Xenopus tropicalis: one gene and its partners. The protein of the gene in region 2 interacts with the protein of the main gene of each other region in a pairwise test. Links are inferred from orthologs where the notes say so. Each region holds a gene or a part of one and is shown on either strand. Other genes may lie near its edges.

What was found.
Region 1: the proteins of lmo2 (region 2) and tle5 interact in binary tests that used the Homo sapiens proteins (3 or more experiments, as listed by UniProt). The two-hybrid records come from large-scale screens. The link is inferred for Xenopus tropicalis from reciprocal best matches to the Homo sapiens genes LMO2 and TLE5.
Region 3: the proteins of lmo2 (region 2) and stat1 interact in a two-hybrid assay, tested with the Homo sapiens proteins (2 studies listed by BioGRID and IntAct). The two-hybrid records come from large-scale screens. The link is inferred for Xenopus tropicalis from reciprocal best matches to the Homo sapiens genes LMO2 and STAT1.

What each region holds. Positions count from the first base shown.
Region 1 is NC_030677.2:114,623,015-114,626,614, forward strand, and holds the start of tle5 (amino-terminal enhancer of split), read right to left. Parts: upstream 2,397-3,600; 5' UTR 2,127-2,396; coding exon 2,094-2,126; intron 587-2,093; coding exon 489-586; intron 1-488. UniProt on the Homo sapiens protein: Transcriptional corepressor. Acts as a dominant repressor towards other family members. Inhibits NF-kappa-B-regulated gene expression. May be required for the initiation and maintenance of the differentiated state.
Region 2 is NC_030680.2:15,306,776-15,310,605, forward strand, and holds the start of lmo2 (rhombotin-2), read right to left. Parts: upstream 2,884-3,830; 5' UTR 2,639-2,883; coding exon 2,598-2,638; intron 1,392-2,597; coding exon 1,176-1,391; intron 517-1,175; coding exon 297-516; 3' UTR 1-296. UniProt on the Homo sapiens protein: Acts with TAL1/SCL to regulate red blood cell development. Also acts with LDB1 to maintain erythroid precursors in an immature state.
Region 3 is NC_030685.2:43,532,075-43,535,904, forward strand, and holds the start of stat1 (signal transducer and activator of transcription 1-alpha/beta), read right to left. Parts: upstream 2,732-3,830; 5' UTR 2,588-2,731; intron 1-2,587. UniProt on the Homo sapiens protein: Signal transducer and transcription activator that mediates cellular responses to interferons (IFNs), cytokine KITLG/SCF and other cytokines and other growth factors.

The DNA of each region.
Region 1 (3,600 bases), on a different chromosome or scaffold from region 2:
GTTATATTAAATTTATGTCAAACAAGTTAGCTACAGGTCATCATGTATGTGTCCTAACAATACTATGCCATAAAAAACATAAAATGTAGTGTTTGGCTAATGTCGCATGGAGCCAGTCAGTCACCTGCAATAGATTTCTGCTACCATGGCTGACTACTGTGCCAAAATGCCTTTCCACTGGCAAGCCAAAGCGATGCGTATAACTTTCCACTGGCGACTCCTAACTCCTATTGTTGCAGGTGGAAAGGCATTTCGGAACAGCTAGTTGCCTGTGGTAGCAAAGATCTATAGTGGGCGACTAACTGCACCATTAGCCTTAAGGTGGCCGTACAGGGGCTGATTAAAGCTGATGACTTGGTTCCTCCCGACCTAGTCGGCAGCTTATTGGCATGTGTAAATTCTAGATAACAATCGGCAGGCTTGAAAACCTCATCAGACAAAAGGTGCATTGGCGTGGCCCTCAGTGTCAAAATGAAGCAATTTCCTACCTGTGATACTGTGCCTGCAGCAGTTGAAATTCATCCTTAATTCTATCACATGAATCTGAGGTTGTGAATTTGAGTTGCTGGGGCAAATGCGAAGAGCCCTAAGGAAAAAAAAATCATAATAGAAATTCCATGTGAAAACATTTGCAGCCTTAATGGAATCCACAGGACACTTGGCTAATTAGTGGTTAAATTAAAGGCATAGTATACCCCTTTAATGATCACCAGTCCATTGAGAAACCTCTGTATAATGAGCTACTCATTTCAGAGTCTAACAGGTTGCATCAAGGGGCAGGGAGGGGTTTATTTATACAAAGGGCTTCTCAGTGGACTAGTAATTTGTTTTGATTGTGTTCCCATGAGTCAGGAGGTAGAATAGGGTAAAAGAAGAGTTCTACAACAACTTTTGTCTTTGTTTGCCACCTCACCCCTTTACACCTAAATGGCTTATGCAATATGTATTATTATGTTAAGCTAAAAATACCTTTGGAAACATTAGCTGCCATATCAGTTAGATATCTGCTGGGCAGGTTTGAAAATATCATAAAATAAGGGCCACTTGGTTGTTTATACGCTCAGTTCCTAATCAACCAAGTATAGGCCCCTATAATGATCTGATCAGCGGCCATAAAGCCAAACAAACCTTGGTGGCCAAATCACAAGATAATTCACTTGTTTGCCGACTTCACCAAATGAGTGGATCTTTCAGTGTATGGAAGGCTTTAAGCACATAATACATGGCTGCAGCAAGCATAGTTATTACTAATAATTAGCTATTTCTGTTAAGTATATGTATCCCATTTCCAAGGGAGAAGGCAGCAACTAGAACACTGCTTGGTCATTATTTTGACAATTGGAGGCTCACTTTTCTGTGGTACAGTACATGATACATGAATATCTCAATTATGCACTGCCAATATGGTGAGGGCCACATTTGTCAGGCACCTCTGGTGATTACCTTGGACCCCAGGCTAATACTGCTCTTCACTAAAAAAAACACAGTGGCCAGGATACTATTTTAGGGTGCACCACCATCTTGCTTCCTTGCTGCTGCTCTGGGTCATGTGCAATACAGCAAAATATTTGGCTTGCAGCTTCAGTCCTGATTTTGCTCTATAGCATGTGCTCATTACCCAGGGCAGAAGTAAGAATTGCATGGACAGAAAGCAAGCTGGCAGCACTCCCTACAATAGTGCCCCAGGGCAGTGCAATTTTAAGCACAAAGGCAACTCCAATGGGGGGGATTGAGGCTAGTAATTATAATTATTGGGGAGGGGATGCCTACCATTGCCCCTTCCAGTAATTTCTTGTCCTTAACATGTATTTATAAAGAGGCAGCACATTGCACAGCAGTGTGTAATACTGGATATCACCTCGAAAATATAACAATGCTACCAGTGCTCTAGACGGCAAAGATGGATTCAACAGAATTCTGAAACTCTACTACAACACTAAGCCCTTTCGGCTCCTGCAACGGCAGGACTTCCTGCAACAAAAAAATCCTACCCCCATATTGCTTTTAGCGTCTCCAGCAGATGAACATGTTCTATACAAATATAACACACAATAATACAGTAGTACATTCAGTTCTACCCCTCGCCTTCTCACCGAGTGCCGGCTGCTGCTTTGAGGAAACATCATATCCCACCCGGCCCCGGTATGTACGGCGCTACGCACAGGCTCAGTATCCAAGGCCCGGCTTCCTGTGCGCTTTATCCAAGGGCTCAGTGCACTTTGGGAAGGCTTCGCTCTGCTTCTCAGCCGGCACTACTGCTTTGGGCCCAGATATGTGATCCGCAAACCCCAGATGATCTTCTGGCCGCTCTGTGTGCTGTCAACCAGGACCTCTACTGTCCCCTTGGCCTCGTCCCTTCTTGATCTCTAACCCGGTAATGCTCCCCCACCCCTGAGGCTACGGCCTGCCCTGCTTCACTACACGATCTCCTAGCTCTCTACCCACTCAGGAGCCTTTTGTTTAATGGCGTCTGTGCTTAAGCAGATATATGGCTCCCTCTACAGGTCACAGTTTCAATGATTCAATTTCCCATGTAAGGATCCCTTGTCCTTTTAGCTGATTTTAAAATTCCTGAAAAAATGAAAGCTTATCAGTTACATTCAATGAACCCTGCTATACAGACCTCAGTGGGAGCATCATTTCGCTAATTTTTAGAGGCTGCCTTATTTTAATCTCCCTTAAGAATATTTTTTGTCTCTGTATATATCTAAGGCTTTTACAACAATCATCTGAACTGAAGTAATTCAATTTTTACCAGTGGTGAAAGTAGATGTTACTAAGCCCTCAACATATTCATTAAAGGGGCACCCAAAATTTCTGGAGAAATTGTTTAGTAATTATGGCCCCACTGGGCCCTCAACATTTCTGGCCTGCTACAAACTCCTGGCTGCACAGATTTTGCTTCCAGACACTCACACATGATGTTCAGTTCTTGGTAATTATGGGGTGCAAAAGATAAGACACTGATGGCCTCGTTTACTAAGGGCCTACAGCACCATGTTGTTCAACCTTCACACCAATGCACTGAGCATTTGCATCTGATCAGTTTATGTTTAGATGAACACGGTTTCCCAATGGCACACTGGTGTAACAATGCAAAATGCTGACAAAAACATGGAGCCTTGCAGAATGACATCTAAGGCTAATGTCCCATGGAGCAAGTTAGTCGCCCGCGATAGATCTCGCTACCGCGGACGACTAAGTGCTCCAAAATGCCTTTCCACTGGCAACTATAGGAGTCGCTGGTGGAAAGGCCTACGCATCGCTTTGGCTTTCCCAATTCGCACAAAGTTTCCTCCTGCAGGCAACTTTGGAAAGCCGAAGCAATGCATAGGCCTTTCCATCGACTCCGATTGTTGCCACTGGAAAGGCATTTCAGAGTGATTAGTTGCCCGCAGTAGCAGAGATCTACAGCGGACAACTAACTTGCTCTTTGGGCCATCAGCCTTAAATGAACCAAATTATTTAACTAAAACAACTGTCTCACTGTAAATGTGATTTTGGGCCACAGTAAAAATCTCAACTTAATCAAGAAAAGTTTAAAGTAATAGGACAGCAAACAATACAGTACTAAATTCCTCTCTGCACCTCAGACTTATT
Region 2 (3,830 bases):
TTCACTTAAAGGATCCCTACATATATATATATATGCTTTTAGAGTTTCACCACTGTTTGTTATGTCACAATTATCCACATGCTGCTTCAGGAAGGACAAGAGCACCAATAATGACAGTAGGATCACCAGAATGGCCTTCTGGATGTACATGTGAGTGTTAATTCAGTGAATAAGACAATGTTGTTCCAGTGGAAAGATACTGGTTTGTCAGTCGTTCGTGTATTGTCAGTTCCAGTGCGGTTAGTGAACGTGTGGCTGGCGTCCATGTTGGATGGGCCCCCGAAGCTCTGCCAGTGCTACATCATCTCATTCAGCTTGGTCCATTCATAGATGTCCTGCTCGCACACAATGTCCGAGTTAATGAGCAGGTAGCGGTCCCCCACGCAGAAGTGCTTTTGGCAGGCTGCACACTTGAAGCACTCCAGGTGGTATACTTTGTCCTTCACCCGCATCGTCATTTCGAAGGCTCGGATCCGCTTGTCGCAAGAGGCGCACAGTCCGTCCTGGCCGAACAGCCTATAAAAAACAGAACCGCGCAACATTTTTATTGTTATGGTTATTTTTTATTACTTATCTTTCACTTATTCAGTCCTTCACCTTTTCATATTCAAGTTCTTCATGAATATCATTGCCTGGTTGCTAGGGTAAATAAGACCTACTCAACCAGATAGCTGCTAAAATACCAAACCGGAGAGCTGCCAATTAAAAAGCTTAATAACTGAAAAACCACAAAAAGTTATATGTTATATGCCAGCTTTCAAATGGAGGGTCACTGACCCTAGCAGCCAAACACCATTGCTCTGTGAGGCTACAAAGGAGTCAGGCCTGGACTGAGATTTGAAATAGGCCCTGACACTTCTAGGACACAGAGACCCAAACAGCCCCCCACCAGCCCAATAAATAGTGACTGTTTATGGCTCTTACAGCAGCCCCTCTGGCCAGATCCAGAGATTGCCAGTCTGGGCCCTTTTTGAGTAGCATGCATGAACAGGTAGTGGCGGTCCCATTGGGCACTAGATACCCAGTCTGATACAGCCTGAACATGTGTTATACCATATGTTATATGTTATATTGGCCTGCTACATCAAAAGTACTTCTGTTTTATCTGGCAGCAGTGGATAAAATGCCCCATGGGCTCTGTCCTAACAGAAGAGAATCAATCTGGTTGGAAATACCTGAGGTAGTCCCTTCGGCACAGTTTGCGCCCCAGCTTGTAGTAAAGTCTCCTCCCGACCTCGCCCAGCCGGCACCCACACAGGTCACAGCTCAGGCAGTCTTCGTGCCAGTACTGATCAATGGCCTTTAGGAAATAGCGGTCCCCGATGCTCTGCTGGCAGCCCCCACATGTCAGCAGTGAGGGGGGGATCTGCAGGACCTCATCCACTGGTTCACTAGAGGCAAAAGAGAGCAACAAGCACTTAGTTCTGAATATAGGCTCCTAGAGACACTTTTTCTTTCTTCCTTTTTATTAGCCATGGGCACATTAATGGCTCCGCAAGCATTTAGATCTGAAAAGAATTTCTCAGGCCCCCCCTTTAGCTCTATGTATGTCCGGAGAAACAGCCCATGCAGGGCTCCATGGTCACTATTTTCATCTTTTAGAACTGATAGTGCAATACAAGCGCAGATAAAGATGAAGCACTTCCTCTGCCACCAAGATAGAGAATAGGAAAGCGACTTATGTTAATCAGTCTTCTGCATTTGCTAATTGCCACTCAGCCCTGACAAAGGGTGAAGACACATGGAGCTACTGGTAGCAGCTACTTTTTCATGGCTACTAAACTCCAGAAAACACCCTGCCATAGACAATACTGAGAATTGCCTCTGTCTTCACCCTTATACTGCACTATACCCTGCACCGCTCTGTGCTCTGTGCTTCGGATTCTTCCCAGCGCGTGTTATACAAATAGACGTAGGACTTGAATGTACTAATTACAGCTGCCCAGGGTGATAGGTATAGTTCAGTTACAGCTGCCCAGGGCCCTGAATTTTGCCCTATAGTTATGACTCAATTTTATTTTCCTGTACAGCATAAATTACTGATTGACATATATTAGTAATAGGGAATGGAGCTGCCATGCTGCTGTGTTTTCCTGCAGCACATATATATATATATACATATATATATATATATATACACACAATAGCCTGCACTGAAAGCATGACTTATTTTCATACATTATAGATAAATATGCCATGCTGCACAGTAAAACCAAATATCTGCCGCTGACTTCACTGAACATGAATATGAACCAGTTCTTCCCAGTAGCCAAAGCACCATGAAAATGGGTAAAATTGCCAGTCACTAAGGATTGAACGAAGCATCCTTCGTCCCCAAGCCACGCGTGGTTTCAGGGGACATTAACCCTTTAGCTTCCCTTTGGATGTGCAACTGGCAATCCTACATGCATTGTGGCGCTGCAACTCCTAGCAACCCCCAAAAGGCTGGTGATAGTAGGAGTTGGTACAATGCATGAAGGGCTGCAGGCTGCAAATCCCTTATTTATTGTTTTTTGAGGGTCCCGGCTTTTCTGCATTGCCAGGGCCCCCTTCTTCTTCCCCCAACATCCCCCAAGCATTATCCCAAGCATGCTTACTCTGTTGGGTCCAGGCTCTTTCTCTCTATAGCTGATGACATTTGCAGAATCTGGCGCGCCTCCTCCTATTGTCCCCTGACTCTTCTGCCAAATGGATTAGCTCCACTGGACCTCTCCTTTGCATATGCCCGTCACCAGCGCAGGTCCCTGTGGCCCCAACACTCACAGGCTGCTGTCCAGCTCCCTAAGGAACATGCGAGAGCCCCCTGCTGTCTCTTCTCCATCCCTGTTGCTCCCCCTGTGTATTCCCCAGCCAGCTGTATCTGTGAGCTGCTCTCCTGCTGCAGGCAGGTCTGGGAGGGAGCCCTGTGTCACTGTCACTTATATAGCCGATTGGTGTCCCTCTTGCAGCCTTTAAGCTCAGCCCCTCTGACTCTGCTTTCATTTCCTTTTTCCTGATCACCATTCAAATACAATAGAAGGAAATGGCATTTAAAGGGGCAGCTGCTCAGTTCTGTGTGTATTGCTATAGGCTTGCAGAGCCAGGATTAGTTGGAACCAGACACAGCAGCTGCCTTGCTGATTAACCCATGCACTGCTGGAGAGACCTGCAGTGAATGCAATTCTTTATTTGCCATCAGCGGAATACCTACAAGGGCAGAGCTCTCCTAAGGGGGTGGTGAATTGGGGCCATGCACTTGAAAGAGATAACGGGGGGGGGCAAACTTGCTTGTCTGTGTATTGATGCCTCCATACTGGGTGGCTTGCCCAGGGGCCCTCAACTTTTTCTGGAATTCACCCAGGCAATGGGGGGGGGGGGTGGATTTGGAGTGCTGGAATAACAAAAGGGCCTAAACTAGGGGTTCAGTGGTAAAAGAGGTATGTGCTGATCAATGGTGAAGTTTCCCCCTGCAGGCAACTAAAGGGAAAGGCCTTTCTACTACCGATTCCCTTTGATGATGGTGAAAAAGGCATTTTGAAGAGATTAGTCGCCCGTGTTAGCAGAGATCTATTGTGGGCAACATTACCAGAACAATTGTTTTCAGTATCTATATCAAAGATGTCCATCCTTCTCGGGCTGTTGTTACACTGCAGCTCCCAACCCCACTATCAGGCAGCTGGGTTCTAGTTAAACAACAGGTTGGACATTGCTGAACCAGTTTAGTTCCCCTTTGATTTGTACTGTTAGCAGGTCCTGGCTTTGGCTGTAAATGCATGTGGTGGGGGGGTGTTAGGGGGAGGGTCACTAATCCCCTCATTCAGTGGTGCTAAAAGCTTTCCCAAATCCTCTGG
Region 3 (3,830 bases), on a different chromosome or scaffold from region 2:
ACTCTCTGCAATCTATCCTTCAGTCAGTTCTCTATCCAATTACAGGTATGGAATCCCTTATCCGGAAACCAGTTATCCAGAAAGCTCCGAATTACAGAAAGCCCGTCTCCCATACCCTCCATTTTAATTACCTAATTTTACCTAAGAAAACTGGAAAAACTTATTGACTCGAGTATAAGCCTAGGTAGGCCCTGGACACCCTGGACACTCATTGGTGAACCAACCCTAGTAACTCTGGGGTAGGCACCCTGGATATTTACCGCTAAAAAGTCAACAATACATTCCACCATCTTGTTCTGCCCCCTAGAAGCCTGCGCCATGGCGTATAATATAAAGGTTCCGTTTCCAGCTTCAAGAACTCCATTAGCAAAGGGAAAAGTCGTGTCTCTTCCTTATATTTTATTGTCAGTAGCCACCGGCAAACAAGCTAGTATAGGCCACCAGTAGCAGGTAGGTAGGCAGGCCTGGACTGGGATTCGAAATAGGCCCTGGCATTTCAAGTACACAGGGGCCCAAAAAGCCCCCCAGCCCAATAAATAGTGACTGTCTGTGGCATCTTACATCAGCCCCTCTGGCATTTGCCAGAACCCAGAGATTGCCAGTCCAGGCCTGTAAGTATACAATACCTGCCTAGGGACCCACTGACTGAGCTTTCCATATCTGCACAAGGTTGTTTCCCATAATTCCCATGCACTCCCATAGTGCAATGCGTACCGGCCAAGGCCCAACCAGAACATTCAGAACACTCTCTGTAGGGCACAACAGTGATCCGAGGGGGTCAGCTGACATCCAGATAAATAAACGGCTCATGTACAGAATCTGTATATAGTGATGCACTCATTGTAATATTATTGTACAAAGAACTACAATTCCCAACATGCTCCAAATGACCACAATGGTGATTTATCCTTTTGACTTTACTTAGCTAGCAGCCATAGAGCAGGTGGTAGTGATATAGGGTAATGTATAATTTAATAAATCTGGGATTTGTAGTTCCCAGATTGCCTTCTTATCTGTGCCCCCTTCCTTTGTTTCTCTCCTTATCACCCAACACCCTTTCTGCGTACGCATTTGTACATGCCCAAAATATTGTTGTGTGCACATGCATGCGTGCGTTGGTTCGTGCACGCACGCCCGTCCAGCCCTCTGTCCAGCCGCGGGGAGGGAAGAGGGGTGCCCCGTAAAACAAACTTGTTCAGCCTCGAATCCTTATACTCGAGTATAAGCCGAGGGTTCGTTTTTCAGCACATACAGGTCCATGTTAATCTAGGAAAGTCCTGCCCAGTTTACCAAATTAGGAAAACCGGGCAGAGAGTTTTGGCCCAGACAGCCCTTCTGGAAACCGTGTTCTCTGGGGAAACCCGACTATTCAATGTATTTTTACAGTGCAACTGCTTCACATACACCAATAACAGTTTATACAACAAGCTAAGAACAGATGCATAAATTACAATAGGTTTGGTTCTTACACGTGTCAAATGAAATCATAAAATAGGGCAATCATTGCCAGTAAATAGAATATTCGTAGGTAATAAATGAACAGCTATAAACTTTAAATTGTAAAATAATATATATTCTTAATTTATGAGGAGCAGTATCTCTAATACAGGGAGTGGAACGGTCTATTTGCACTAGAAGAGCTGAATTTAAAAATTAATTGTTAGGGGCCTTCTTTTGCCACCCCTGGTAAACTGTTGCACACTCCCGTCTTATGGCAGGAATGGTCATGCTGGCATCATTTTTGATAGCGATATTTTATTCTGTAAGTGAACATGACATGATTTAGTTATTAATTGGATATGACAACTGAAGGAGAGGGTAAAATCAAAGACAACCCTAAGGCAATAGGCCATTAGAGCGCTTGTTATTTCTAGGGTGTTCTAAAGTTTGCACTGGGAAAAAGGGTTATTCTGTCTTATATTCAAATAGAAATGTCTGTCAAAAAACTCAGAGATCAGAGTTGAGACTGAAAAATACAGGATAAATTTGTCACCCAGTGGTATTGGAATACATTCAAGTTAATTAAACCCACAGACATGTTGTGTAGATTTTTTTTTTTAGATGAATTGTGCAAATAAAATTTGCTTGGCTAAGTAGTGGCAAATATTAAACAATAGCAGTGCAGATTTGCAGCTCAACTTAACAGTACATGACAGCCTTTAGAGTGCTCACAAACCAATGTAAATTAAAATAGGGGTTTCCAAAAAACAAAAGTCACTGTGGTAAGTGATACACCAGCTGTACACAAGGATTCACAAATGGGCAGGATTACTCAGCATAAAGCAGATTAAACATGGGCTGTGCACACTGGAGTTTATAACCAAGTAGACCAAATACAGAATGATCCAGTCGGCTTATTAATCAAAACTGGGCAAATGTTAGCAGAGGCAGAATGATGCACACAATTACGAAAATTATATAATATATGCTGCAGTATAGTGATGAGTATATAATAGACCAAAAGAGCAATGGGGTTGCCCAGACAGGCACAGTTATAAAAACAGAATCATTAGCAGAAGCGTTTATACCGATGATGTCCTAAAATGGGCGCCGTACAGTGGAGTAAAATGTCTCTCTTTCAACGTACCTGACGCCGTCCTGTATAATAAGCTCAAGAAAGCAAAATAAAACGTCTTGAAATTTACTTTGATTCCGGATACCTCTAGAATCACCAACTCACACACACAAAACCGAAAGAAGAAATGAGGGTACAGCCCTTACTTCCTAGACTGCAAGCTATCCCCGCCTCTAAATCTTGACTTCAGCAAATCATAAAATTGTTTGCTGGCTGTTACTTTAAGTTGGATTGCCTCCCTCTGCTTTGATGCGGACACTTCTTAAAGGGCACCGAAACGATTAATTTGTGCACATTTAATCTTGCTGTAGCAAACAGGCTACTTTTTACAGTTTACTTTTTCAGAACTTTTCTTCTTATATGTATTATATGTAACACTATTTTGTCTTAGATTAGGCCAACCCAGGCTTGTAGTGTAATATAGAGCATGTGTTACATGTGACCCTTAATTCTTCGGCATGGGCCTCTGCTATGTGGGAGATGTAAGATAGGAGCTGAGGGTGTAGTTGAACTACAACTTTCTGATGCTGTGTAGTGTAGATGGTATAAATGGACGCAGAAAGGTTCTTGCTGGTGAACTATAATACAGATTTATTGGTCAAAGACACAGATGTTATGCAGGGTTATCATACTCACAGACATGCAGATTGAAATGGTACAATGAGGGATTTCTCTTTTGTAGAAGAGAGAGTGTACACCGGTTTACCCCACCTCTTGGTAGAGTCTGGGCCGGGATATACACCTTTCAACCAGTACCCCTTGAGAGATAGTGCAAGTAGTAGGAACTCCTTCAGGTTGATAACCTCTAGTGGATTGAGTCCTCCTAGAGCCCTGCACTGAGACAACATTGCCGGATAGGAGAAATACTCCTGGATCTAATCATTCCTTTGGTAGGCTAATGGCCCTTTCTAGCTAGAGCTGACTATGCTCACTTCTACTAGAGAGTGCTATTAAATAAATCTGCTGTGCTTACTTATCCTCATTCACAGGGCCCTGTCCCTGACTTATACAATTAGTAAGGTGTTCTTTGGACTAAGGTGGCTTACTGGGGCCTGTTGCAGCACCCAGGCTCAGAAGGAGCTGTGCTTAGGTAGCAGACAGGCAGCCAAAGAGGAAGCCACTCCTCCCTGCTAGACGCTATTTCAGTCTGCAGGGGGAGTGGTCAACCTGACTAAATCTATAGGGAATAGTGTTAGAACAGTAACTTAAGTACAGGGGCTCTGCCCAATAACAATAGAGGTGTGAAGAGGTAGAG